Notamacropus eugenii: one gene and its partner. The protein of the gene in region 2 interacts with the protein of the main gene of each other region in a pairwise test. Links are inferred from orthologs where the notes say so. Each region holds a gene or a part of one and is shown on either strand. Other genes may lie near its edges.

Region 1 (15,187 bases), about 210 Mb from region 2:
AGCAAGTCACAATTTTGTTTCCCAGTGCATATAAAATACTGTGATTAAAAATACTAGGAAGGTGGCTTGCACAGGCAGGGATATCCTCCCCATTTTTCAAAATTTCCCTTGTTATAATGAGGTGATTCCCCACAGGGGTGCTGGTAGGTAGGTCTTTGCCTCCTTTTTCCACAGTTGCCTCATGGTGCAACAATGACACAAGTAGCAGGTCACCTGACCTAATCCTTTCCTCTTCTCTCATCCCACCTGAAATATCTGCTTTTGTAGCTGGGGCCAAGCCAAAAGCTCTGAATCTGATCCATACACCCAAAGGGGGCTTTCCTGCAAGGAAAATAAAATATGAACTGTCCAGCATGGATATCTGTCTCCTTCCTCCATTGTCCATTATAAACTGTCTCTCTGGTACACGTTAGTCTTGTATGCATTTGGTGTGAGTCAGTTTTTCCCCACAATGTGATTACCCTCTGGATCAGCTGACCAGTTTCCAGAACCATAGGCCTGAAATGCTTAACAACAAAGTAGAGTTCCCCCCATAATTAACTGTGAGGACTTTCTTGGTCACAGACTTAACTGCTCACTACTACACCATCAATTCAATACCAGCTTAGACTGCCCTGATTTCACTGACCAGGGCTAAAGCTCTGGGATGCAGAGACCTCACTCCAAGGATGCACGGGGGACACGGTGCAGCACTGCATTCCCTGCTGGGAACCATCCCAACATACTCAAACCAAAATGTTCTCTGAATTCTTCATCTTCTCAACTGAAAAATATTTCCCTCACATATTTTAATGCATCCTCATCCTCTTCTGAGTTCTTCTTGTGGTCGAAGGTTGAACACTCCTGTTTGCTTGAGAGACTTCTTGGAGGGGCATCATTCACCTCCTCTTCATTGCTACTGCTCTCAGAAGCCCAGGGGGACTCAGGTTGTGTGGTTTGGGCCTTATCAGTTCCCAGCAGCAATGTGTGCTCCAAAGGCTTTTCCTGTTTACGGCACTGAAGAGGGGGGAAAAAAGATAAGCACACTATTTTTTACTGACATCCTAGTTTGTTTATATAGGACAAAAAAATCCTGCAGGTCTAGGGTAATTTCTGGATCATGAGTCATTCCCTTCCCTTCACTATCCTCCATACCTACCCACATTCTCTCCCCTACCCCACCCCCACATTCCCCACCCCATATACACCTCTGGATAGTTCTGCAGAGAAGCCAGTACTAGAGAGAGGACAGAAGAGGGCTGGGGGAAAGAGTTTGCTCAGGAAGTGAAGCTTCTAGCCCCAAACAGAAGGAAAAGGGTAAAGTTGGAAGAAATAATTTCATTAGGTAGGTCTCTTCTTGAATGAGCAGAGTCAAAGAACTTCAAAGGAACTCAAGGAGGGAAGGAACAGCAGCTAAGCACTCATTCCAGACCATTAAGAAATCACACACACACAATAGCAGAATCCTTCTTCCACTCCTTTCTATCTCCCTACACAAAAATAGCACAACGATGACAAAGTCAATGGCTAGGCCACACAGACATCCATATTCCCTAGCCCATGTTTGTATGAGGACACAAAAACACAGTGGGCAGAAGAAAGTGTGGGTGAGGAGTCAGCAAGATGAATGTGGTGACAGGCTGCATGAAGCAATAGAGAGAGAATACTGGGCTAGAGTCAGGAAGAACATGATTCAGGAATCCCATCTGACACTAGCTGTCTATGGGCAAGAAATACCTCTATGAGGCTGAGTTTTAGAATCTTGTGAGAAATACAGATGACACACTCTCTACCTCACAGGGGTGCAGCTGGGACCAAATCACTGAATGCCAGAAAAACCCTCTGCAAACCTTTATAGTGCTAAGAAACTGTCAGCTGTCATCATCATCATCACCAGTATTACATGTGGGAAGTTGGGGGAGAGAAGTCTGACTGATTGAGAATATATTAAATAAATGTCAAAGACTAAGAAAGCTTGAAAGGACTTATAGGTTACTCACAGGTCCAGAGGTTCTTAACCTGGTGTCTCTGAACCTGTTTTTAAAAATATTTTAATAACTGTATTTTGACATAACTAGTTTCATTTGCAATCCTATGAATTTTATCTTATGTATTTAAAAACCTATTTCTGAGAAGTCCATAGGCTTCATCAGGCTGCCAAAGGGGTCCTTGCTACAAAAAAGTTGAAGAATCTCTGCTCTAAACCCACTTCCTCATTTTGTAAATAAGGAACTGAGGCCCAAAGAGGTGAGTAACTTGCCATTCACCCAGCTTGTATCCTTTCACCCCTCCCAGAGCTGTGAAATCCTTTCCCTTAAGAGCTGCTTCAGAGCAGTATCCACAGCACCAGCTGGGCAGATCCCACTAGGAAAATCAACACTACAAACATCACCCCACTCCTCCACAAGAGGAAAAAAAAAATTACTAAGGGAGCTGCATGATCAAAAACCATTTGGAGACCACGACATTAGACCAGGAAGCTAGGTGGCACACTGGCTAGAATGCTGGGCCTGGAGTCAGGAAGATATGAGTTTCAATCCAATCTCAGATGCCTCCTAGCTTTGTGCCTCTGGGAAAGTCATTTGGCTTCTGTCTGCCAGTTTCTCATAACAGCACCTACTTCCCAAGGTTGTTGTGAAGATGAAATAAAGACAGCATTGGTAAAGTGCTTACTCAACACAGTGCCTGGCACATAATGGGTGTTTATAAATGTTCTTTACCCCCATCCCCAACTAGATCATATGGAGGTAATCAGAAATGCTATTATCTATTTTTTATTAACATTAAACATTAAAGAACTCAAACCTACTCTCAGGAGTTTTCTGTTCACAAAGACACGAATTGGGATCCACTAGAATAAAAGATCTTACCTCAACTAGGATACCCAAAGCAACATCCACCAATTCGGCTTCATTCATGAAGTATACAGTTCGTATAGAGGGAAGACTGAAAGATAAAGAAACAAAGGCAAAGATGGATGCAAAGTGAGTCCCAGATGGACACACAAACAGGAAACTGGAGTTGAGGATTGTGTATCCCCCAGCCCTGTCTGCCATGAATGAGACTATACACATCCTTTAGATCTGAATAGCTTGCTCCACAAAGGATTTGAAGCTTAGGGCTCTCAGATGAAGGAATTTAAGCCCTTGCCTTTCCTCATACATTCAATTGATACAATTAAGACACATATACACACAACAGTGATATTAAGTTCCTTAAGCAATAAAAAATAACACAATTAACCATGTGTCCTGGATGACATCTGGTTTGTCATCAGTGTTCACTGCATTTTCTAATGAGAGTTGATTCTCTAAAAAGCACTAAGGGGAAGTCACCATATCTCATTTACCTTTACATCTTCACCAGGTCACAGTTTTCCTACACAGTATATGCTAATGAAATATTTTCTACAGTGAATGAGGATTGGTAGAAGCCTGGGGAAGAGGGATAAGAGGGAGAGGGAGAAAGAGGGAGAAAGAGGACAAAGAGAGAGAGACAGAGAGACAGAGAGACAGAGAGATATGGGTATATGTGTGTGAGGAGAGTTGAGAGAGAGCTCTAAGCATTTAAAGTGTAGCCAGATGGAAAAGGGATGTGACTTATTCAGTACAGCCCCAGAGGGTAGAACTGGGAAGGATGGATGGGGAACACAAAGAGACAAACACAGCCTCAACAGGAAAATCTTCCTAACAATTAGAACTGTTCACAAGTGGAATGGGAAGCAGTGGGTTCCCTTTCAATCTATCCATAAGCATTTATTAAGGCCTGTACTAGGAGCTGTACTAGGCAGTAGGGATGCAAAGGAAGGCAAAAACAGCCCTTGCCCTCAAGGAGCTTACTTTTTTAAAAATAATTTTTATTTTTGACAAATTTGGCATTTGACAAACACCAACAAATGTAAGCATTTCCATATACAAAGGACAGAAAAAAGAGATTTGCACTTGCACGAATCTTCATTATAAATAGTTTGCTCTTTTTTAAAAGTCCGTAATAAATTCAAGACATCAATTTCAAGTCTACCTTGCTGGTCTGGATGTCCTTCTGAATTTCCTTTTGTTCTCTAAGATGTTTACATTCTAATGGGGGAGAAAACATGCAGTCCTTCACTGTGAGTCTTCGAGAAAAGGCTGAAGACCTGCTGGCATGTTGTAGTGGGAAATGTTTTGCGGGGTATAGAGCTTTGGGCTATAGATGTCTCTAAAATTCTGTAATGCTGTGAAGGAACCAGAACTCTCCTACTTATGAGGTTTTTCTGAATAGGAATATAGGTGTCTCAGGAATGAATGAACACTCTGGAGGTTTCTTCCAACCTAAGAATGTTTCCCTTCTAGACAGAGGAGTATTGATAGATGAAGAAAGAGGAAGATCCCAAAGAACTGGAAGCTAAGAGGGTGCCCATCAACTGGGGAATGGCTGAACAAACTATGGTACAAAAATGTAACAGAATATTATTGTGCCATGAGAAATTACAAAAGGACAGTTTCAGAGAAATCTCAGAAAACTTGTATGAATTTCAAGTAAAGTGAGAACCAGGAGAAAGATTTACACAATAACAAAACTGATAAATAAATAACTTTAAAAACCCTAAAAACTGAGATCAGTGCAATGACTGTCCATGATTCCAGAAACAATGGAAGAATGCTGCCTACCTTTTGACTGAGGGGTAATGGACTCAGGGTACAGACTAAAACACAGATTGTCTGAACAATGCCAGTTAGCGAATTTGATTTGCTTGTCTATGCAGGTTACAAGGATTTTCTTTTTCTTTTTTCCAATGGTAGCAAAGGAGAAAAATAGATTTTTCTTAACTGAACAAAAAATAAATGTTTCAAAGAGTAGGGGAAAAATCTTGGAAGGGCCAGTGGATCAGGGAAACAGATCATGGAAAGTCATTCTCTAGTTTCTGAGCACATTACTGTCCACAGAACCTAGCTTCTTAACCACAAAGTCCCCCAGTTCTTTTATCCACTACCCCTCTGAGAAGATGAAAACTGATCCTGTAGCATTTCCTTTAGAATTTAGCTAGTCTGTAATAGGTTAAGTTTAGAGATCCAGATCTCTCACTAATCACTATTCTGTTTTTGCTTCAAGGAATACTGCTAACCTTGGGGGATGTGGGAATCAGGCCTACTATCTTTATACCACCATGCTACCCTTCAAGAATGTCTGATTTGCTGTCCAAGGAAGTGTGGGTCCGTATGTTTGACCTTGCAGGCGAACTCAAACAATGAACTCTTCTTAGTCTCAGGAGGGAAGAGGAGGGATTCATTACAAATTTCCAGTCAATTATGTTGTTCCCCAAGCCTCAGCTATGTAACAATCATGTTGCCCTCAACCCCATGATGTCACCTATCTTGTTCTGTTCTTTCTTCTGTACTTCCCAAACCTACGAAAGAAAAGTTTTCCTTTTACTTTGGATTTCCACCTGGAAACTGAGGCAGACACTGACCTACCTTATTCTCAGGTTTCATGCCCTGTGAATAAAATGTTATCTTGCTCAGAGAAATATGTCTCAGTTTACCCTTCTGTTACATTTCATTCTCAACTAAAAGGACCCTAGACCACAAAGGTTTTGCTGCTATGCAGCCGCAATTTGCAAAAACTCACTTTGATGATGCATGTGCTGACTGCACTGTGCTTTTTCTCCTCTTAGTTGGCCTCCACATTGGCACTGATTTTCTCACAGCCACCTGGGCTGTCATCCATGGAGGAAGGTCCCTCTTTTTACTCTCACACTGTGCATTTGCCATCTCTCCAGACTCCCTGGCAGAGTGCTCAGGACCCAGGTAAGTGTCGCAGATAAATGTATTGCCCACTGATGGCCTCCCTGTTTCAAAACAGCAAAAACGAACCACCTGTCAGAGTAACAAAAGCCAAATCTGTCTGTATTCTTGGCACAATGCCTGACCCATAAAATGACTGCTTGTGATCTTGACTGACAATGCTCCCAAGTAAAATAAGCACCATCAGAGATATAGCAAAGTGATGAGGGAGCTCAAACGAGATCTTCTTTGGCCCACTGTACGAAGGACAACTTCATGGAAAAGATTCCATTTGGGCTTATCTGGCTATTAGTCCCCTATCTGTGTGGAGGCCTTGGGTGTAAGATTCAGTGATCCCATCTGTTGACTGGGACTTGGTTCCATCAATCATTTCCTCTTTTGTATCTTCTTTCTCTCTCTCTTCTGGTTCCTTCTGGTTTACCTAAACACATCAGATTTCTGTCTTTTTTTTTTTTTAAGGCTCTAGGCACTAGATCTAGCCAAACTGGTCTACTGACTAGTCTCAGAACATAACATTCTTGCCTCCACTCCTAGGTTCACACTTTTCTTCCTAAAAAGACTTTATCGTGTCCTTTTATCTATTAGAGTTTATGGCTCTACTATACCAGTGGCTCACGGACAAGGACCATGTCTTTAAATTCTCGGTCCACCCTCCCAAACTAGCCCGGGGAATTGTACATGTTCACTGAATTCAATCTCTTCTCCCAGATCTTTTAAGAGCAAGACCCAGTCCTACCTCCTTAGTGAAATCCTAGCCTCCACGGCCCTAGAAAAATGCCCTCAACACACAATGAAAGTTTGCTCAGCTGAATCTTAACCTCCACCTCCCAACTCCCTCGCTGTGCCTGTCTGTGCCTAGGACCTTCTCACTCTTCATATCCATCTCCTGGAAGTTTCCCTGGCTTCCTTCAAGACCTGGTTCAGCTCCTCCGTTCTGCAGGCCTCTTCCAATGCCTGGTCCCTTGACACCCTGGGCCAACAACTCCCCGACAACTTCGATCTGAGATTGCCTTCCCCATGCCCGGAAGGTAAGGGCAGCTGGCTGGCACAGAGGGAGTGCTGGGCCAGGGGTCCGGAAGACTGGCCTTCAATGCTGCCCCAGGCACTTCCTAGCTGTGTGGCCCTGGCCAAGTCACTTATCCACATTTGCCTCAGTTTACGCTGCAGAAGGAGCTGAGAAACCCCCAAATGGGGCCAGTTAGTCAGCCCTAGGCCTACTGAGTTAAACAGGGCAGGGTCTCGCCGGTGCTCCGCCCACAGCGGGGGCCTGCTCGGTGCCGGCTGCCTCGGAGGGCGGCACCTCGGGGGCCCACCCTCCGCTCCTAGGGTCCGGCCCGAGCCCGCGGCACCGGACCGCGGGCCTTCCCACGAAGCTTGCACTGCCCTCCCACGGTCCCACCGACGATCGGGGGCCTCGCTCGGGGCGGTCACGTGGGCCGGGAGGCGCTAAGTCCGCAGGAGGCGGCTTCGCCCCATGCCCTCTGTGGCAGGAGCCCGGGAAGGCCCGGGAGCCGTCTGGCCCAGCACCCCGCTCCCGGTGTGGGGGTCTCCTGTGCGTCCCGAGGAGGGCCAGGGCTCCCGCCCGGGCCCGAACCAGCACAAGCGGCGGCACCTACTCGGCCTTCTCCTGTCCCCGACGCCGGGGCAGGCTCAGCCTGGGCCCCGCTCCGACACCTTCCCACGCTGCTCGGGCTTGGGACCCCGCCCGGATCCGCACTTTCTCCACCGCCCGGCTCTAGGTCGCGGCTCCGCTCCGAGGAGCGAGCGGCCGCTGCTTCCGGCCGCTGAGGACGGGGCGCCCCCTGCCGGCGGACACGAGGCCGTGCGGCTTCCGCGGACTCCTCCCCCCACCCTCGGCGTCGGCTTCCGGGAGCCACGCCCACTTCCCCCTCCGGGGAGTTCCTCCCAGGTGAAGGGGCGGGCCTTCCGCCTCACTGGACTCTGCGAGGCCTGGAGGCGCCGTTCAGTCTAAAGCCGGAGACTCCTTGGGCCCCCAAGCGTACGTTTCTTTTGGCTGTCACTCCCCTCAGGAGCCTTCGGTCCTTCGGTGCTTTGCCAAACGTTGCCCACCGGTTGAAGATCCAAACTCGTTGGCGCGGCATTCGAGGCCTCCCGAGGTCCGGCCCTAGCTTAGCTCTGCGGGACTTGACGAGGCCTCCATTCACTTTCCCCTTTACTCGTGCCTCACCCACCCCCGCTCTGCTCGGACTTCACCAAAACACCCTCTAGTCCTGGCAGCCAAAGCTGTCCAAAGTCCTCCACACCACTTACTCCTCGCACCGGCTGGGGGGGGGGGGGGGGGGCTGGGGCCGGAGTCAGGAGCACCGTGTGACCCTGAGCCAGTCACGTGCTTGCCTTCCTCTCCTCGTCTGTAAAAGCAGTTGGGGAAGGAAATGGCAACCGACTCCAGGACGTGCCCAGAAAACCCCAAATGGGGTCAGTCTGACAGCACTGGAAACGACTGAGCTGAGCTACAAGTCCCCTTACATGACACTGGAGAAATACGGGCTTGTACTGCGCCTATCCGGATAAATCATCTTTCCTAAGGGTTGGCTGCCACCGTATTCATTTTTACATCCTTCCTACCACTACCAGCATCCAGTAACTGAGCATCGTAGGTATTCAGGCAACGCTGAATATCAGAATTCAGGGGTTTCTTATTTCTTGACTCAAGAAAGATTTTACAAAACAGAAGCAAAAACCATAGGAAATCTTAGCAATACAAACACAAAATGCTCTACAAAAATCTAAAGCATTTCAGCCAATAGTGCCACACTTAAAACTTACAAATTATACTGTTTTCTATTCTCTATGCTATAGAGAAATCAGGTGGAAAAAATGTCCAAATCACCAGTTGTCCTGATCTCTGTCTTGCCACTGGACCCAGAAGGCTCCACAGAGAATGAGGCTGGTGACTGCACAGCCCTCTCTCACTTAAATCCAGTTCACTTGCAAGTCCACAGCATCACCTTCCTGATGTCATGGTCCTCTCCAACAACGAAAGACAAACAGCAATTTCACTAAACTTTATTAATTATTAATTTCATCATAAACTTATCTCATAATTTATTTTTTCCTGATGTTCCTTCTAAAACGAGGGAGGACTGGAATACCCCAATCTCCTGCCTCTGCCTTGGGGTAAAATGAATAGCCCACCAAATTCCATGATTATCATTAGCATGACAGGTATGGTGTTGCTGTGGGAAGGCAGCTTCAGTGCCATTAAACTGTGTTTGTATCTTGGATTCCCCAACCTCTTCTTTTTAAGTTCCAGGATTGGAAGGAGCCAGGCATATTAATTGCTCTTCAAAGGGCTTGAGACATTTGAGCTGCAAAAGCCAATGGCCTTACTTCCTGGCAGCTCCTGCCCTGAAGCTTATATTTTAAGCTTCATAGGGCAAACCACTGCACAAATTTTGGATTTTTCACTGGGTTGAAGTATACTTTGGCCAGAGAAACACAGTTCCAAAGGCTTCACCGAAGCAACTATGGTATGAAATAAGGGGAAGGAGTGAGGGATAAGTGTTAGAAAGGGCCTTCACAAATATGGTCTCATTTTATCTTCACAGCAACCCTGCGAGGTAGATGCTGTTAATCCATATTTTACAGTTGAGAAAACTAAGGCAGAGGTTAAGTGATTCACCCAGGGTCACAAAGCTAGTAAGACTCCAAGGTCAAATTTGAACTCAGGGCATCCTGACTCCAGGACACCTAGCTGCCTCAGAGGGAGCTGCTTTCTAATCCCCTAAAATAGAATAGCACCCCAAGGAACGGAAGCAAGTTTTAACATCTGTGAATATAGGTAAGACTAACTCTGTGTTTGCCAAACAAAACATTTTTGTTTCTTACTGAACCAGAACACAAAACCCCTCAGGATTAAACTTCTTAGGCAATGCAAAGAATTTCAATACACGTACCTGGAAGCTGCCATCCTTCAGTGCCCTGTGAAGCCACTGGTTATCAGTCACATAATTCAATAAATTCAATTTGTTTATTAAGATTTTATTAAGTGCAAGGCACTGAGATACAAATGTGAAAAACAATGCAGCCCTTGCTCACAAGGAGCTTACACATTTAAAAAAAGGGAAGTGGGAAGGGAGATAAGGGACTAGGGACTGTAATACAAGGCAGAATTGTGAAGTGCAAAGAGTCCCTCTCTCACCATAAAACAAAGGGGGAGGGGGGGCACAAGATATCTGAAGGAAAGCAGTGGGGGAATCCAAGAAGGAAGACTTCATGAGGCAGATAAGAGATTGGTTCTTGAAGAGGTAGAGACAGGAGAGTGAAGAACAAGAATGGAAAATGAGCCCAGTTCAGCAGCCTGGAAAAGGTGGCTCTTAACATCAGATTGTAGAGAGTCTTCAAAACCAGTATTAAGGAACATAAGTAGGTAATGGGAAGTCACAAAGGAGTTAGGACGGAGCTGCAAGCCCCATTAAGACGTGAACCAGCAGTGTGCAGTGTAGATTATAGAACAGGAAGAAGGTGATAGATGAGAGTCTGAACCAGGATGCTCTCACAGTAGGTAGGATTGGAGGGGTTAACCCAAAGGGGAGTGTAGAATGGAAATACACGACTGTTCTTCTCAAGATGGCACATCCACTTGACTGGATGCCTGAAGGATCTGTGGTTTATCAGTGAAACACCAATACACATTACAACCTGTCAATAACTTGGTAGGGGTTAATAAGTGGCCTGAGACTTGAGAGTTAGGTAGCTCAACCTAGATCAAACAGGTAATCTTCTTCAAAGGCGAGATTTCCTACATCTTCATGACTCCAATGCTAACACTCTACCCAATATGCCATGTTTTCTTAGCTACAGATAAACTAAGGCAAATGGGATTTTTTTTTTCAAATGGGAGGAGGAAGATTCAAGAGAGACTATCAAGGAGAAATGAAAAGAAGTTGATGAGTAGTTTCGATGAGGGAGGTTAAGAAGGATCAAGAGTAGTACCTAAGTTTTAAGACAAGGAGGGTGATGGGGGGCCTTGACAGAAACAGTTACCACTTCAACAAAGGGGAAGGGAAAAAAAAATTATCAAAAGAAAATATCTTCCCTTGATTTTCCTACACTTGGGGTGGGGGGAAGAATCAGAATATGTATGATGTGAATGTGTCCTTCAAGAAGAAGGCAAGAGAATGTATTCTCAAGAGGGAGGTGGTCAATAGTCAACATCCCACTAATATCCAGGAAATGGAATACGCCTCTCCACTTCACATTCAAGCTTGCTCAAATGCAGGTTCAGTATTTAAATTCTTTCACTTTTCCCTCCTCCCCAAGCAGGACAAAGCCCTAGATTTGTTCTCCATTTCCCTGTAGCCATAAGAGCATGGATAACTAAGAGGCAATGAAACCTGAGGCACCGCCCAGCCCCAGAACTGAGTTAGAACCAGCCCAACCTCTGGCAGTGGAGAGATAGGGTGGATGTGTATATGCCTTGTCAGCCTCAATAGCCGTCACCTCCCAGTTGATCCCTTTAAGGAGCCAATTCAATGGCAATACCAGGTAGAGAGTGGAAAGAGCTCTAGACTTGGGGTCAAGAAGTTGAGTTCCAATTCAGCCTCAGACATTCACCAGCTGTGTGACCCTGGGCTAAGTTACTAAGTTACCTCTCTTGGTCCATTTCCTCATCTGTAAAATGGAGAGAACAATTGTACCTACCCTCAGAGACTTTGTAAGAACTGAATGAGAACACATGTAAAGTGCTTTGCAAACTTTAATGTTTTAACATTTTAACTTTAACATTTAACTATTATCATTATTATTTCACCAGTCATCTATACAAATTCCGGACTTGCTGACTTCACTCCTCACTGCAATAGCTGTGACAACAGTACCATTGGGCTATTTCCCCTGGCCCACAGGCCAGGGAAGAGGAGGAGGGAACTGTTTTCTACTTTTAGCATATGAAGGGACTATAAGCCTGACTAAGGAACGTGGAATTCAAAGACACAAATCAGACTTGCTTAATGACTGTTAGTTGCTGAACTAGTTAGTTGTAGTACCAGCACCTGGGCAACAAGAAACCTGGCTTCTAGTCTGAGCTCTGCCACCGAATTTCACCATCTGGACAAATCACCATCTTCCTCTATTCCTTTAACTGCAAATGGGTGAAGACAGTACTCTTCTATCTGCACACAAGAAATGGGGGTTAGGAGAATCAAAATGCAAGTCCTGGTGCTACTGATCCTCATGAGCTAGCAGGTATAAGACAACCACCAACAGGAATACATGGAATCATGGGGCTGAGTGGAAACAGTCCTGGGAAAACAGGTACCATGGTCTGCTACAGATAGGCAGCTACAAGCCAAAGGTCTTAGGTCCGCCTTAGATCTGCTATACATCTCTTTCCCACAGGAGAGGAAACTACATCCCCTCACAAAGTTTTGTGAGCAGAAAAATAAACCTTTCATCTAGGATAGTCCAAAGTATAAGTGGCATTAGAGAACATATATATAGACAGGTGCACATGTGGAATGGAGAGCAAGTGAGTAATTATAGATTGTGAGTTATATAAACAGCCTCACCTCTATAATAAACCAACACCTCAAACCTCTTTAGTCTGACAGATACTATGGAAAGTTCACCGTTTATGTAACACACATATTTAAAGATCTGAGATTTCATCAGTGTGTGAAATCCCCCACTCATACAGACTGCCACCAATCTAAAAGCTAGTAGATAAGTTACTGAGGCTCAGAGTGACTTGCCCAGGGTCACACAGATAGTAAACATCAGAGGCAGGACTAAACTACCATCCTGCTGTTCAAACCCAGCACTATCCACTATACACCACACTACCATGTTTCGTCTTAATGCTTCTATCTGGGGCAGTAAGGAGACGGTTAAGCTCCCAAGACAATACTTCTGCTTTCTGAATAATGTAAAGGGATCACAACCAAGGGTCACTCACTGAAGGAGCTTCTTTTCCATTCCACTTCTATAGAAAGACACCTCAGTGAGAACAATATTCTTTTAAGAAAGGGAGGAGAAAAGAAATGTATAAATATACAGAAAGTTCTTGCTTTATATAAATTCACATTATGCAAATTTGACTTTATATAAAAAATTCTGAAAGAAATCCACATCCCAGAAAACACTTGTGTTAACTGTACAGTACTATGTTCCTTCTCTCTTGCTCTCTCTCTGCTCCTGCTCCTTGGCATCACGCCCCCCACACACACCAAGAAACAACCAATACCCCAATCCTCCAAGCAAAAGGAGAACAGACACGCAGACCACCACTGCCACACCTGGCACCAAGATAGAAGATCTTTGCCATGCTCCAAGCACCCACGTGTCCCCGGCCCTGACCTGGATAGCCATGTATCTGTTTCTGGCTCCCATCCTCTCCTGTCTGTGTTCTTGTCCAGACCCCACCTGTCTGCTTCCCAAGTGTTCCTCCTCTTGGTTCCAGCCAGGACCTCACCTAGCTGGCCTTGACCCCTGCATGTTCCTCCCTGTTCTCACTTCTCTGTCTCTGGCCCCATGAGTCCTTCAACTGTGTGCTGGCCGCCTCCCTCCACAGGTGCTGGGGGGGAGGTCCTTCCTGCTCCTCTCCCTCCCTTCCCTGTGTCCATGGCAAATCTGCATTATGGAAAAATCGCTTTAAGTAGATTTTTGCGGAAGGGTTCATTTACTTAAAAGCAAGAACTGTCTATACACAAAATACTGTCAAGGTTCACAGGAATCAGAGCAAAAGTCACCAGAAATCTGTCTTTTTGAGCCACTTGCAATAGTCCAGTGGGAGCTTGGGGCAACATTAGAGTCTGTGCGTATCCTGGACCAATAGTTTTCTGGCCTCCTGCTCCACATGTTCCCCAGCTAGCTGACAATTTATTGTAATAAACCTGCCAGTCTCTCTCTATCTCCTCTTTCCCAGTCCGTGATCTCAACCTCATGCTAATACTGATTCCATAAGCATTCTATAATGCTTCCCTGGTTCAGTGTCCCATCAGAATTTCTGAGCCAGCAGGGTTGCCAACTTGATCTTGCCATCCATGGAAGCAGTAAGGCAAGTGCCACAGTCCATGGCTGTGCACCAGTCTACAGTGACCACTGGGGCTCTGTGACCCCCGAGGCTCAGGCAGCTCTCCAAGACCTTCTCATCACTGCTCAACTGCAAAGGAAGACAAGAAAAAAGAGACAAATAAGAGATCTCTGGAATGGACTGCCACCGGAAATGAAGAAACCCTTAGGGAAAAGTTGGACAGCTCATTTTAAATTGCCAAACCTCATTTAGATTGGGAAGAGGCATACTTAACCTGAGTAAGGATAAGCATGCCTGGATCCCCGAGTACTTTGGTTTGGCTGACTAGATTAGATATATACTGTCACCTCCCTCCCTCCAACCATAAAGGATTACTGCTTATAGCTTAAATGGATTATTTTACAAAAATTGGAAGTGTATCATGCTTTTTGGTAACAATTCAGAAAAAAGTCATTCCAGCATTTGTCACTTCACCAGGAGATTTCTATCCTGGTAAAAGATTTGCTACGTGTTTATAAGCAGTAGGGCCCATGTTGTTAAGGAGCCTATACCAAGTTGTTTACTTTCCAACATTCTTTGTCCAACTACTTTCATTTTCTCCTTATTAACATTCCTTGGCCCAGGGTCAGGCAGCTGCTAATTAGTGATCGACAGCAGCCCAAAGTTCTTTCCATCACATGACACTGTCTCAACTTTGCAGGAACACACTCTCTCTCTTTCTCACAATCCCAGTCAAATCAAAAGATATGGGCAGAATGACTTCTATACAAAGAAGAGCTCCACAAGTACCAAGCATTGAGGCAGGAAGCAAAACTCAAACGCATACTAGATGAGGCAGAGATCCAGATAAAGGGTACCCATCCACCCACAAGATCACAACATGGGAGATTTAGAGCTGAAAGGGACTCTGAGGACTTCAAGAGAAATACTCAGGAATTACTGCTTCAACCATGTTACCTTATAGATGATGCCCCCTGTAGCAGAACAAGTTAGCATGTAATTTCCTTCAGAATCAAAAGCAAAGAGACGACCCCGTGGAATCTGGACTTGCTTGTATCCACTGTAACCTGATAACACAAAGGGGCCTGTGGCATCCATGGGGAGGGAATATTCAGACACTTTCTGGCCACTCTTGTGGATGTTCCACTGAATAAACTAGAATTACAAAAGAACAAGAAGAAAGCTGCTAATTAAAAAGTAGCTGTAAAATGAAGCAGAACCCCAGAAAACAATCTAAAAGATGACTATGACAAAAAGAACGGAAAGAACAAAACAACCCAAACTTAATAGTGTCAGAGTATCATGACTAAGCTTGATCCTAAAGAAGAGATATGAGAAAGCACCTCCCCTGATTCCGCTAGATATTGGGGAAAATGGGTATGGGTCACTGCACATGTCAGATATTTTCAACTACATTGGTTAGTTTTACTGA
Region 2 (15,390 bases):
TATACCGTATTATGAAAATTATGCCATATTATAATTATTGTGAAGTAAGAAATGGCAAATATGAGGACTTCAGAGGAATATGAAAAAATGTTTACAAACTGATACAGTGCAGAATAAGTACAACCCAGGAAGACAACATACACATCAACTACAATAATGTAAATGAAAAGATAGCTAAAAGAAAAGGAAAAATCAGTGATGGCCCTAGAGAAGAAGAAGGAGAAAAGAAGGAAATAAGTATTTATACACTCCCTACTACGTGTCAGGTACAATGCTTTTTACAAATATGATCTCATTTACTCTTCAAAGCAATCCTGCAAGGTAGGTGCTATCATTATTCCCATTTTACAGTCAAGGAAACTAAGGTAAAGAGAAATGAAGTAACTTGCCTAAGGCCCCACAGCTAAAAGTGTCTGAACCTGCACTGGAGCTCAGGGTCCCCATTTCCAGGCCCAGTACTCACCTACTAGGCCACCAGAAGAGATAAGGAACATTCAACTTCCCTCAAAAGATATGGATAGAGGGACTACAAGGACAAATTATGTCTCCTATATGTCTGATAAAATTTTTGTATCATTAGAGTTGGGTTTTTTTTCAGTTTTTGCCTAATTATCTTTCTTTGGGGTAAGAGAGGGTTTAATGGGGGTAGAAGGAATGACCAATATAAAGACAAAAGACATCAATAAAACATCTTTCTTTCTTTGTTTTTTTTTTTTTTTAAGAAATACAGCGAAACTAAAATAACTGGAGATACTACTTACAGATAAGTCATGTCAATATAATTAAAATGATGATTATTACCTAAATTAACATTCGGTACTATACTAATCAAATTATCAAGGGGACACTATTTAGACCAGTCAGAATAATAACAAATTCATATGGAAGAACAAAAGATCTAGAATTCCTATGAAATTCTTGAGAAAAATGGTAAGAAATAGCATTATAAGAGATGAGACTATATCATAAATCAGTAGTCATAACACTATTCAATAGAGGCTAGAAAACAGAAAAAAAACATTAGTGGTACATAACTGAATAAGGAACTGAAAAAAGTATCCCAGTGTTTGACAAAACCAAGAGCATAAAATACTGTGAGGAGTTCTTTTTTGCCACAAGCTAACAGGAAAACTGAAAAGCAATCTGGTAGCTATTAGGTTAAGATCTTACATCATGTAACACAATAAGCTCAGATGGATGCATGACCCAAATTTTAAAAAGGTCATACCATAACAAAGTCTGAACAAACCAGATCAGGTACCTTCAGAACCAAGGTTAAGGGGAGAATCACCGGAAAGAGACAGAGGAGACCATTAATCAGTCAACAAGCACGGATTAAACTGTCACTATGCACTGTGTATGGCACTGGGGAAACAGACAAAAATGAAATTGTTCCTGACTGCAAGAAGTTTACAGTCTATAGAAAAGGGAAAGGCTTAATTAGGGAAACCAATTAGAAGACCAATTCAATAGTGCAGACAAGCAGTGATGAGGGCCTGAACCAGGGTGGTAAACTTATAATTGGAGAAAAAAGACAACACAGGTGGGAGAGATGTTGTATCAGAAGAACTGAAAGACCAATCACGACCTCCTCCCACTTTTTGTTCTGATTATAAAATGAGGTATTTGCTTTCAGACGCTACCAAAGGGCTAATTTCTTTTGTTTGACAACAATTACAAAGAAGAGTTGGAAGGGATGAGGGGTAGCACTGAGAAGTGACCCTGATGTTTAAAAAAAAGCATCAATAAGACATTTAAAGAGAAAAAATAGCATCCAAAGAAAGCCACAATATGGTGAGGGGCCTCCAAAGTACTTCATGTAAATTCAGTTAAAGGAACCGGAAAAGAAAAGCATGATGTATTCAAAGAAAGCCTAGGATTTAGCTCTCTGGCTCTTGTCATTTTATTTACTTCTCAGGACCTCACTTTCCTCATTTGCAAAATGAGGCGGTTGGACGAGATGGCCTCTAAGGTCTCTCTCTGTTCTAAATCTATGATATTCTCTTAAAATATCTGAAGGATTATAACACAGAAGAGGGATTAGACTTGCTCAGTTTGCCCCCCAAAAGAATAAACAAGAAGCAATGGGTGGAAACTACAAACGCAAATTTTGGTTCATTTTAAGAAAATACTTTTCAACAATTATCTGTGCAAGCTTAGACAAGTGGCTTACTTCCTGGATCTGTTTGCCACTTGTAAAATGAAGAGGTTAAACAGATGACCCCTGATGTCCCTTTCAGCTCTCAATCTATCATGTTATAAACTAAAATCATCCAAATACAGAATAGACTGCATCAAAAGATAGTATCAGAAGATGTTAACTGAGGGCTGGATGAGCACTTGTTAGCAAAGTTGTAAGGGGGATTCTGATCAGGAGTCAGTGGATCAAATGTTTTACGAGGTCCTTTGCATCTGAGATTCTGTTACTAACTGGAGTTTTAAAACTCAGCTAGTCCTCAGTGTTCTGCTAAATTGAAAATGTTAATATGGAATTGGAAAGAACAATGAAGAGTTAGGAGAAAGAAGGGAGAAAAAAAAAAACAAGGGAAAGATAATAAGCCGTAAGCCAGATAAATATTTCTTTAATAACTAACAAGGGAATGCAAGATACAAGAAAGTTCAAATTCTAAGCAACCTATTCAATAGACCTTGGGAAAATAATCTAACCTTAGTTTAATACTTCAAAGAATGGGTAAGAACATTGTCCCTCCTTAGGGTAACTCTATGGATATAAAATGACTTCACACTTCATTCACTTATTAATTCAACAAACATTTATTAAGAAACTTATGTGAAAGTCATGATACAAGTAACTTCTGTGTCTGCCTTTGCCACAGTGATACTGCAAGTAACAAGCTAGATCAGAACATTACTATTTTAACTACTGCAGGAACAAAAGAATAAATACCTGTACTGTTTTTCCAAGTCCCATGTCATCACCAAGAATACATCCTCTTCCCAGGGAATAGTGTCCATACAGAAACTGGGCTCCTTCCCTCTGGTAGTCACGCAAATATCTATTAATTGTATATGGAATACAGTCACCATCTTCAGATAGCTTAAAAGTCACAGCAGGTGATGGAAGTTTTCGGTCTGGGAAATAAGGCTTTTCCAAGTCAACATCATCAAACAAAAAACTTCTGCAAGAACTTTTACCAGATGTTGTTTTATGGAGTTTTTTTAAAGGTACTTTCTCTTCCAGCGAACCTGAAAATAACACAAGTGCAAATGACTTTCCATTTTCATCTGTCATGATGGATTTCACTGTTGCTTCACGAAGCTTTCCACTGTCTGTGACAGGGACGAGACATCTTTCTCCAATGTGCCACATATCTAAAAAAAATAAATAAAGGAAAAAAGTTTTTAAATTGTTATAATAAAACAGACATACCTATTTCCATGTGGATACTCAGTAACATCTCACTTATCTGACACTGTGGAGCAGTCTTTGCAGCCCAGCAGGAAAAGTGATAGACTGAGAGTAAGTATAAGACCAGTATACTCCTGGTCTCATACTATGCACCTGTAACAAGAGACATTGGATTGGATGGCTTCTAAGGTCCTTTCTAGCTCTAACGTGTATGATTCTACAAGTTAAATTTTAGCTCAACTCCTCAAGCACTAGCTTCTTCAAGACAAGACCATGCATTGAGAATAAACCAAAAAAACCATAGCAGCCTAGAGGAATTTCAGACATAGTGGATGCTGACTGATGTGGAGGTACTCATAAAGACCTCCACATTTTAACACCACAATGCTAACCACAATGATATGCAAATCAGAATATAGTCCCATCCCCTCCTACCCAAAAGAGCAGAAACTTGTAGTCAGAACTGGTGTAAATATAAGAAAAATGTGTAAAGACTTGCTATAGGGCAATGTAACAAGTAAGAGAATCTTCTGAAGGTCAGGGGTAATAAGCGTATTAGGTGCAGTCTATGATGCAATTAGACAATAAGTTGTATAATAACCAAAGGATAAGAAACTAACTAAACTAACATACTAGAAAGTTGGCTATTTGCACAAGGATGGAAATAGTAAACATGGAATTAATCTTGAAATTCAGTGAATAGAAGCTTCATCTTCAAACCCCTAGCCGACCATCTCCTCCTTTCCTCCTCTGAAAAACTTGCCATTACTGTACTGTCACCTGTCACTTTTCCACTGCTTTCTCAACTGCTAGCTTATTTTTTAAACACAACTATCTTGCTACCTGGATTCAGGAAGACTGACCCCCAGGAAACCTAACCATGCTCTCTGTCTTGCTGACAAGTTATCTTGTCACCTGGACTGGAAAGAGAAGCAGCAGCCAGGCCTAGCCAGCTTGATTTTTCAGCAATAAAATGAACAGTAACATTTAAGAAAGAGTTTCAATAATTAAGTTTAAAATAAAAGTTTTCTGGTTAGGTTTGAACTGATATGCTCTCTGCCAAAAAGGTTACTACAAAAATCAGTCAACAAACATTTATTAAATGCTTTCTATGTGCTAGGCACTAAGAAAGAATATAAACAAAAGATGAAACAAACTCTACTCTCAAGGAGCTTATGTTCTACCGAGAGAAAAAAAAAGTGTGTGTATAAAAAATGCAAAAAAATTCAGAATAAATACAAGGTAGTTAGGGAGGGCACTTGCAGCAGCTGGAATCAGGAAAAGCTTTGTGAAGAAGATATGGAAGTGCCTTCCAGGTATGGCAATGGCCAGTACAAATGCAGACAGAAGAGAGAGGGAGTGTCCTATGGATGACACACAGAGCAGGTTAGTTTGGTTGGAGAACAGAGCACTAGAAAGAGAAAATATATAAGCATTATATAAGCATATAAGTTAGTAAGATACTAACTACATAATGGCCAAAGCTAAGTCAACTAGATTTAACAAACACCTACTATATGCCAGAAACTGTGATAAGCATAAGCACTTACGGATTTTAAAAAAAGGCAAAAGAACAGCCCCTGCTGTCAAAGAATTCACAGTCTAATGAAGGAAACAAGTAAATAAATATGTGCAAACTAGATATATAGAAAATAAATTGGAGGCAGTCTCAAAGGGAAGGCACAAAGATTAAAGAAAACTTGGAAAAGTTTCTTGCAGAAAGCAAGACTTTAGCCAAGACTTGAAGTTAGCCAGGGAAACTAGGAGACATAGGTGAGGAGGGAGAGAATTCAGAGAATTGGGAGATGGGAATGCTGTGTGTGAGGAACAGTAAAGGCCAACAGTGTCACTCGATCACAGAGTACATGGAATAGAAGGAATAAAATATGAGATGACTGAAAAGGTAGGAAGGAATATGGTTATGAAGATCTTTAAAAGCTAAACAGGGGATTTTATATTTAATCCTAAAGGCAATAGGGAGCCAATGAAGTCTGTTGAGTAAGAATCTGAGCTTTTTTTTTTTTTGGCATATAAATCACGTATAACATGACTCATAATTCTGGCGCAATCCCTTGTAATATGGTTTCCAATCATATCATTCAACTGAAATTGCTCTCCTAACATTTATTAATTTCTGTTCAATGGCCTTTTTTCAGTTTTCACCCTTTATGACCTCCACACCACTTTAGAATGCTACCTACCACTCCAACAAAGACACACACTCTCTCCCCTAGGTTTTAGGCACACTGTCCTTTTCTCTGACTGATCTTTCCCATTTTTCTATCCCTTAACTGTGGGTACATCTGGGGCTCTATGCCAGCCCCTCATTTTTTCTCTTTCCAGTCTTCCTCATGTTGTTCTCAGTTTCCACCAGTTCCAACATCCTCTTTAAAAAGCTCATTCCCAAATCTCTCTCTCTCTCTCTCTCTCTCTCTCTCTCTCTCTCTCTCTCTCTCTCTCTCTCTCTCTCTCTCTCTCTCTCTATATATATATATATATATATATATATATATACACAAACATATATGTCCAGCTGTCTCCTCTTTCCTGTGTGTCAGTCCTACATCACTGACTGCTGGACATTTCTATTTGGACATCTCAAAGTCAACGTGTCAAAAACTGAACTCATCTTTTCCCTTCAATTCATCACTCTTCCTAACATTCCAATCCAATAAGAATTATTAGGTACCTTCTATGTGAAAGACCCTCTGCCATGTCAATCAGATAACAGGCACTTATTATGAACACGGGTACGTACTGATGGTAAACTGTTCAATTTGAAAATGCTACAAGCCAAGACCAAATTGGAGGGAGCGGTGGTGCATGATTTTCTGTTTGCAGATGACTGTGCACGCAATGTAGCCTCTGAAGCTGAGATGCAACAAAGTATCATTCTCTGCGGCCTTTGCTAACGTGCCAGACATAGCCAGATGCTGGGGATACACACAAAACTTCCCTATCCTCAAGAAGCTTACCGTCTATGAAAGGAATCCAAAATATAAACAAAAAACTATATACACGTTGAACTGGGGGGAAGGAGAGAGCACTAGGGAGATCAGGCAAGCCTTACAGTAGAAAGTGGCACATAAGTGAAAGCCGGGGTTCTACACCATTTTTGTGTCACTGACTCCGGACCTCTTTTCACACTTGTTTTTAAATGCACTGTAATATACATAGTAATCCAAAGGACACCAATTATCTATCTATATCTTTATATACATATTATGTACGTATTAAAACAAAAAGTTCACACACCCCAAGTTAAAAACTCCTGGACTCAAATTTGAAGGAAACCAAGAGTTGTAAGAGGCAAAGCTGAAGTCAAATGTTCCGGGGAGGAGAAATCCAGAGGAAAACAAAAAGGAGAATGATGTGACGGAATAAACGTAAGTATACGAGTCCTTTCAGGTGAGACCCTGTACCTTCTGCTGCTTCTCCCCGGGGATCCATGACTCGGAAGCAAGGGGAGCCATCTGGCGAGGGGGACAGCGACCTGTCCCAGGCACTTAGGGGCCCGCCGGGCCCGGTCCTACCTGAGGCTTAAGGCTACAGTTATTACGCAGGACGCTCAGGGCTCAGAATTCCCCCGGGAAGCCAGCCCAGCGAAGGGGGGAGCACGTGCGGGGGCGGGGAGGTGAAGGGAAGAGGTAGAACAAACTTCCGGGTGGGCGGCGAGCTTCACTACCCACCCGACTGCCCCGCTGGAGCTCGACACAGGTGGGGAAATGAGGGTGGGGAAAAAGGGGCGGGGACCTGCTTTCTGAGCAGCTCTTCTGCCTGCCCCGCCCTCACGGCCTCCACTTAGCGCTTCATTCCCTCCTGTTCTAGGAAAATCTCGCGAGAGCGCGTGCGCAAACGGTCAGGCCCGATCCCTCTCGAAACCCTTTTCCGGGTCCCCCCCCCCCCACCTCAGTAGTGATACCGCGAGATCTTGGTAACAACTCGCGGGACTTGAGAAACCTCCCAACTGGTGGGTCTCTTTTTTCAGGTTCAGGGACCAGACGCTAGTGTCACCGGGCGGCCGCGGAAAGTGGAAACCAAGTCTGCGCCACATGTTTGAGACATGAGTAAAATGGAGCGTCGTGGGAGAGGAGAGGAGAGGCTCTCTGTGCCCCTGGCAGCCCCAGACTGCCCAGAAGTGCTGATGGATGACCGTATGAGGTCGTAGCTAAGCGCCTGCACACCTGAAAGCTTTATGAAGGATGGATGCTCCCCGCAGACGCAAGGATGAAATCCCTGGTTCGGTCTAAAGTAAAAGAAAAGACTGGAGAACCCGGAAAATATGTGCACATGTAGACGTGTATAAAGTGATGCAAAGCCGTAAGAAAAATGTAACGTACGTAAAATGGTAAAAAAATAAAAAATCAGGTTAAACGCAGCGGACGTTGCTGGGTCAGTCCTAACCTTCCATTTGACTGGTCAGCCAATAAACTACATGATGGGGTGAGGTTGCGAGTACCGTCAGTCACCGGGATCTGCTACTTTAAGATGTTTTGTGGGTGTACCGGATACTTGGTTCAGTCACGATTTGGGGGGAGAGTGTATGATGAAACAAAATTTATCAATTAAAAAAAGCTTTGCCCAGCATTTTGCTTAGTGCCCAGTCTTAGATTGACCCAGTAGGGGCAGCTGGGTGGTGCAGTGGATAGAGCACCAGTGCAGGAGTCAGGAGGACTTCAGTTCAAATCTCACCTCAGACGCTGGACACTCACTAGCTGTGTGATCTTGGGCAAGTCACTTAACCCCAATTGCCTCATCCTGGGTCATCTCCAGTCATCCTGATGAATAGCTGGTCACTGGATTCAGATAGCTCTGGAGGAGAAGTGGGGCTGATGACCTGCACAGCCCTCCCTCACTTAAAACAAAGTCAAGTGCAAGTCATGTCAGCATGTCTCTGATGGCATGGTCTCCTTCCACAAGGAAGGAGGAACACACTCAGTTTGATCCAGTGACAGGAGACTGGCCCCTAGAGTATCCAAAACTTAGAAGAGGGAATAAAGGTGAGAAGTCAATACATAAAAGAACTATGAACTGATGAGTGGAATTCTCTCCTCCCCTACAGATCACAAATCTTATTAAATTATCCACAAGAGTGGCCAAAAAACTATTCACCTTGCAGATGACCTAGGATCTTTCCGATATTAACCAGTCTGGTCTTCAGTCCAACACTCCACCACTGGCCCTGCTCAAATCCTTTCCACCTTACTAAGACTGCCTGATCTTGTGTTCCACCTGGCTAAGAGGAGAAGAATCTTTTAAAGAATCTCGAACTCTAAATGGGAATGAGGCATCAGAGAAGTGTTTTGCAACAGTTGTCTCCAATAAATAAGAGAAAAACTCTCCTTCTTTGCCTGTTTACTCAATTTAAAACTCAGTGAAAAATCCATCTAGGACTCATTGTCAAGTTAATTTTGCCAACGGCACAAAATCATAAACATTGATCCGTGCACTATAAAATTTGGTACCAAAGATAAGAGAATCTGTCCTACCTACAATACATATGCCAGCGAGTGTATGCACATACACACACACACACACACACACACACACGCACCCCTTTTAGTACAGATTAAAGCTGGCTAAATTCTTTAGGGAGCACAAAGGAAACCAAAAATGTATGAGTCTCTGTAGGTGAGTCTATAATCTATTTTTATAATTTATGTCAAGTAGCAGTGTATAATTCAAAGTAAAGGAGCCTGGCAAAGGCTGTATTGAAGTTTTTCCTAAGTCCATTCTCCAGCTAATGACAGAAAACTACAGTGCTGATTTTTCTCCCTTCTCTGACAGATACCTGTCACTGGGTCAAACTGAGTGTGTTCATCCTTCCTTGGGGAAGGAGACCATGCCATCAGAGACATGCTGACATGCTAAAAAATAAAAAAAAAATGTATGTTTATGCAATGCAACTTGCTACCTGCATTAAAATTTAGTTCCACATTTTGTCATCCTTTTGTATGGGATGAAGCTTTTAAAGCACTTTTTAAGGCATCCTTTCTAAAGGTAGAATATAGGTAGACTATAAATTTTCCTTTATAAATTATTTTTGTTACTTGTTCTTTTCACCATTTACATCTTATTTAGTCTGTCTACATGCCTAATAAAACCCACCGAAAAGTTCAAAAGTCAGTCAAATTGATTTTTTTATTTGCTGTACTCTGCCAAAAAACTAGTTTGTTTCAATGATTGACCAGTTTTGGCACTGTATAGCCATAGCTTTAATTTTTTCACTTCTTCCAGATGTCTTCTATTTATATTGCCCTTATTTTACCAGTTACTTTACAGAGTGAGCTGAAATTTTCACAAACTATTCATTAACTTTGACAGAAGCAAAGGAGATGGAGATAAAAAGATATCACAATAGTAGATAAAGGAGAATTGTATATCCTGCAAATCTGATAACATTTGTAATTTTATTTTACAAAAAGAATTGAAAGGTACATTTTTTGATTAGAGTTGCAAAACTGTTATAAGTCTGACATAATACTTCTCACAAAACTAAAATGCTGTTTTATGACACTAATAAGCAGCACTTATGTAGTGCTTTAAAAGTCTACATTCTCTCTTTTGATCTACTTGGTCCTCATTTTACATAGGAGGAAACTGAGGCTCGTAGTCTTGCCCATGGTCACACAGCTAATGTCAAAGGTGGAATTCAAAACAATATTTCAGCAATTACAAATGAATCACTCCTGCTACTGCACGTCTGATTGGCTCTTGCTAGCACTATATGGGGAGGGGGGGAAAATGGCATTATTCAACCTACTCAAAACCAGAGAATTTCAGTGTTTTAAGCGACCTCAGAGATAACTGTTCCATTCTATAACCTGAACAAAAATTTTCTCTTCAAACTTTCTGACAGGTCAAACCTGACTTGAAGACTTCAAATGATGGGGAGCCCATCCTGAAGAGTTCTCCCAAAGAGAACTTATTATCTTGTGATTACCATCTGGTTGGTTGGTTGTTGTCCTTCATCTTTGAAGAGGGCCAAAATGACATCGCCATTGTAAAGTGAAATTTCAGTGTGTCCGACTGTGGCTGATCAGACCAATATGAGCTCAGAGTGCTCTACCACAGGTTGGGCACAGATAGTCCATGTGAATATTTGGGGTGAGTATCTCAAATTTACACATCCAGCATTTACTTTGTGCTATCTCAATTCTGCTTTGCTCAAAGAGCACAGCACCTTTTCTTATGTGGGCACACCATGCTGAGCGGTCCTGTGCCAGTGTCTCCTATGTCCCACAATCAAATCCAAAGTTCTTGAGAGAGACCTTGAGAGTGTCCTTGTATTGTTTCTTTTAGCCGCCATGTGATTACCTGCCCCATGAAAGTTCTCCATAAAATAGTCTTTTTGGCAAACATACATTTAGCATTCGAACAACGTGGCCAGCCCATCAGAGTTGCACTCTCTGAAGCATAGTTTGAATATTTGGCAGTTCAGCTCGAGCAAGGACTTAAGTGTCTGGTACCTTATCCTGCCAGGTGATCCTCAGAATCTTCCTAAGACAATTCAAATGGAAGTGAATCAGTTTCCTGGCACAGTGCTGATAGGCTGTCCAAGTTTCCCAGGCACACAACAATGAGGTCAACACAACAGCTCTGTAGACCTTCAATTTGGTAGTCAGTCTAATACCTCTTCTCCCCCAAACTTTTCTTCGGAGCCTCTTAAACACTGAGCTAGCTCTGGCAATGTGTGCATCAACCTCATTGTCAATGTGTACATCCCTGGAAAGTACCCTACTATCTATGCAATCAGAAAAGCCACCTTCTTCTTACCCAATACCTATCTGAGCTACTAACCCTGTGAATTCATTTCTCCCTAGGTTTTATTGTCTAAGATCCCCTGTCTGTTAAAGTAAATCCATGTTGCTCAGTCATTTCAGTCGTGTCCAACTCTTCGTGACCCCATTTGGAGTTTTCTTGGCAAAGATACTGGAGTGGTTTGCCATTTCCTTTTCCAGCTTATTTTACAGATGAGGAAAGTGAGGCAAATAGCATTAAGTGACTTGCCCAGGATCACATAGCTAGTAAGAGGCTAAAGCCAGATTTGGATTGGTGAAAATGAGTCTTCCTGATTCCAAGGCTCCTAGTCTAACCACTTCAATACTTAACTGCAAATTGCTGATCTCAAAAGCAAATATCTCACAGGAAGCATGTGCCATCATTTAACTATGTTCTTTGCCCAGTGAAAAGTAGTGAAAACCTTTTCAAACTAGGAATCTTACCTGCAGGTAGGCATAAATTTACATTTATAATCCAAAAAATTAACCTCTCCTGGCCAAGAAAGTAAAGATCACCTTCCATACCCTTAAGGACAACAGGTTCTAGGTAACTAGGCTGATAGCTATGATAATATTATAAAACAATCATGGAAACTTCACCAAAAATTTATCAAGGTTCATATCACCCCAATATAATTTGTGTGAAAAAAAACCCATTTGATACCTTGAGAGAAGAAATTCTCTTCCCAGTAGTAAATCTATTTTTAAAAATTAAGATAAAAGATTGCTGAATTGGCACATGGAAACAAAACTAAAAACTGTCCAAATTGCTAAGCCTCATTCATCCAGACAATTTTTTGGCTGATCTGAGCTAACACTTCCCTAGCTATTTCTGGGAACGTTGCCTTTATCTTTACTTCAGACTCCCCCTTTTAAATATTCAAAGCTGACCCATTAATCCTTCCGTGTACCTCAACGTTTGCATCAAATAAAAATAAAAACTTCTCTTGGTCTGTTCCCTCATCTGTAAAGTGAGAGGGTCGGACTATATGGACAATCTTTAATTATTTATGGAATTTGAATTCAAATGTTCTTGGATTATTTGGGGAAGGAAGCCTTTATAAACTATCTTTTATCACCTGGTGGCTTCTGACTCTCCCTTAGGAAGGTGGCCATGATCAAAGTCAGGTCCCAAACATATACAACTGTAAGGAGAGTTGTATTTTTAATTTAAAGTTTCTCAGTTTTAGACTCTTAGAGGTCAATAACTTGTACATTTGCAGGTTCATTGCTCTCCTACTTCGCCTCCTGAAGGGGAATTCATTTTTGTTTTTGTATCCCCAGAATCTAACATAGTGCTTAGTACATAAAAAGCACTTAATAAATGGCTTTTTTTTTAGTAGATTGGTTTAGTTTACTTCATTTAATGCCTGTTATGACACTAAGCGCAAAGAAACAATTTCAAAATACTACTCAGAGTATTCCAGAGTTGAAACAGACATAGGAAGCACCCTAGTCCAAAACATACCTTGAACCACAGTACCAGCTTACCTGAGAAATGATCATACAAACTTGACTTGAAGGTCCTCCAGAGAAAATACTGTACATTCATTACCTCCTAAGGTGGCCTATTCTAGTTTTATATAGCTCTAATTACATGAAATTTCTTGTTACTAATCATTTTTATCCACATAATTTTTATCATTTCATCCTACCCTTATCAGTATTGTCATGGTGATCCTTCCTGGAGCTGGGAATATCCAGAGCCTAATAAGAGTATCATTCCTCCAGGTCTCATTTTATACTGTAACAGTCCCCGTAGAGCAATTCCCTTGACCTTCATTTACACTTAAGGGCTAGTTTCTTAGATGGTAGAGGTGTTACTTCTCCTTTTAGCATCCTTGGGGTAATCCTGAAAAGCTAGAGTGTCTGACTGTTTGGCTAGTTGGTTTTTGTTGTTTTGGTTTTTTAGTACTGTGGCTTATGAGTCCCCATCAGTATGTTTTTCATTGACTGCCAATGAGATGACCAGCAGACATGAATTAGCTCTCAGAAAAGGGATTGACTAAAAAAAGTAGGGCAAGAATAGTTGGTACAAAACATTTCCTGAAAGTCTTTCATAAGTGGAGATAAATCCACAGGAATGGGGTAACTAACGAAACCACAATGACAGTGAGAACATATATAATAGTACATGTAGCACATAATGATGGCAGAATGCCATTAGGGACCAAAGTATAAAATCATAAATTTTGATTAAGAAAAGTACTTTCTTGAGTCCATAACAGGCATTTTATTCTGGTAAAAGGGGGTCATGGTCTTTGAAGCTACTTTATTCCTTAAGTGGCTATTTTTCCTGTATTTTTATGTTTTGTATTTTAAATGTGCTGATCACATACACAAAGCTGAGAAGGACAGCTAACATACAGGTTCTACACAGATATTGATGGGGCAGAATTTGAATCAAATTGAATATGGATAAATATAAAGTCCTACCTTTGGGTTTAAAAAATGAGTTTCATACATACAAGATGGAGGAGGAATAGCTAGAATACAATTCATCTGAAAGATATCTGAATGTTTTAGTAGACCACAAGTTTAATCTGAAACAACAGTATAATATGGCACCAAAGAAAGAGAATTAAATCTTAGAGTACATTAAGAGAGGAGTTGTATCTAACCAGATGGAGTTGACAGTTCTGCTGGATTCAGTCCTGGTCAGACCATATCAAGAGTATTGTGTTCAGTTCTGGATATTGGGATACTAATTTAGGAAGGACGTTAATTAACTACATGGTGCCCAGAGGAAAAGCTTCTTGAATTTATGTCTTATGAACGTTGATGAAAGAACCTTGAGTAAAGAAGAAACGTGGTCTCTTTTGGCACTGATGGCAGGGCTAGGGAAAATGGATGAAAATCTGAAAGAGGTAGATTTTAGACTTAATGTAAGGAAAAACTTCTAAAGAGTTAAAGCTATGCAGAAGTGGAATGGATTACCTGTAGAGGTTCTGGAGGACTTTCAATACTAGAGACTTTAAATAAAAGATTTCAAGAACATTCACGGGGATGTGAATTTATCCCTTTTTAAATATACAGAAGACAGAGAAGATTGACAAAAGTGGGGAGATTGAACTCATTCTAGGACATGCCTGGATATAAAATAAAACTATAGACAATAATACCAGTTGGCAATAAAAGTGTCAGTCTTAGAAAAAATAATTCCTCCTAACCTTCCAGAGCGTCTCATCTTACATTCCAGGTTCATTTGAAAAAAAAGACCTTTTCTAGATTGGTACTTAAAGGATAAATTGTGCCAACAAAAATTCAATTTGCTCATCAGCATTTGCTCTTTTGGGGAGTGAACCATTGCAGGAAGATGATACTTAAAAATTGCTGCTTCCTCTGGACTAATTTCAAATCCATGTGAAGGAAGAAATGAAAGAAAAAGACAAACCTAGGGAAAGGCAGGAGAATGATAAATGGAATGGAATAGCAGAATAAATAGAGAAAATGAAGAAAAGAGTAGTTCAACAATCAGATGCAAAATTAAACAAAATTAGTTTTAGAATAGAGGCTTCATTTTAAGCCTCTCTTTTAGATTTCTGGCATGTGGCATAGCAAATAGGGAAAAATAACAACTATTTTTTGTACATTCTGTAGCTATGAGTATATCTTTTCCAAAGAGTGTTACATATGATATCTGAATACTTTGCTAAAAACTCTTGTTAAATTTGCAATATATTTCATGGGCCACAGAATCACAGCACCACAGCAGAATCAGAGGTAAACAGAACTAGGAGAACAAAAAAAATTACACATGAACAACGCTGTAAAGAAAACAACTTTGAAAAAAATGAGAATTCTGATCAATGCAATGAACAACCCTGTTTGCAAAAGATACATGATGAATTTTTTTCCATTCACCATTTTTCCATTCCATTATCCATTCACTTCTTGATAGAGAGTTGATATACTTAAGGACATATGTTTTTGGACATGACCATTATGTAGATTCATTATATTTAACCTAAACCTAACTCTAATTCCTCATCAATGCATCATATACGTGATAAGCATTTTTAAGCACCCATTATGAAACAAAGTACCATACTAATGTAGAGGATAAAAAGACAAAATGCCTGGCACATAGTAGACACTTAATAAATGTTTCCTGACTGGCTATCATGTGCCAAGCATTGTGCTAGACATCTTAGGTTAAATTGCAAAATAGGAATCAGGGGCAGTTAGGTGGCTCAGTGAATAGAGCACTGACCCTGGAGTCAGGAGGACCTGAATTCA

What was found.
Region 1: the proteins of ERCC6L2 (region 2) and CYREN interact in binary tests that used the Homo sapiens proteins (3 or more experiments, as listed by UniProt). The two-hybrid records come from large-scale screens. The link is inferred for Notamacropus eugenii from reciprocal best matches to the Homo sapiens genes ERCC6L2 and CYREN.

The regions. Positions count from the first base shown.
Region 1 is NC_092874.1:114,680,532-114,695,718, reverse strand, and holds the start of CYREN (cell cycle regulator of non-homologous end joining), read right to left. Parts: upstream 7,512-15,187; 5' UTR 7,379-7,511; intron 6,922-7,378; exon of another isoform or gene 6,625-6,921; intron 5,807-6,624; 5' UTR 5,730-5,806; coding exon 5,587-5,729; intron 2,926-5,586; coding exon 2,850-2,925; intron 997-2,849; coding exon 760-996; 3' UTR 1-759. Other genes in the region: WDR91 (WD repeat-containing protein 91), read right to left, coding at 13,720-13,884, 14,713-14,910. UniProt on the Homo sapiens protein: Cell-cycle-specific regulator of classical non-homologous end joining (NHEJ) of DNA double-strand break (DSB) repair, which can act both as an activator or inhibitor of NHEJ, depending on the cell cycle phase.
Region 2 is NC_092874.1:328,114,146-328,129,535, forward strand, and holds the start of ERCC6L2 (DNA excision repair protein ERCC-6-like 2), read right to left. Parts: upstream 7,200-15,390; 5' UTR 6,821-7,199; coding exon 6,793-6,820; exon of another isoform or gene 6,626-6,792; intron 3,334-6,625; coding exon 2,909-3,333; intron 1-2,908. UniProt on the Homo sapiens protein: Promotes double-strand break (DSB) end-joining and facilitates programmed recombination by controlling how DNA ends are joined in a spatially oriented manner during repair.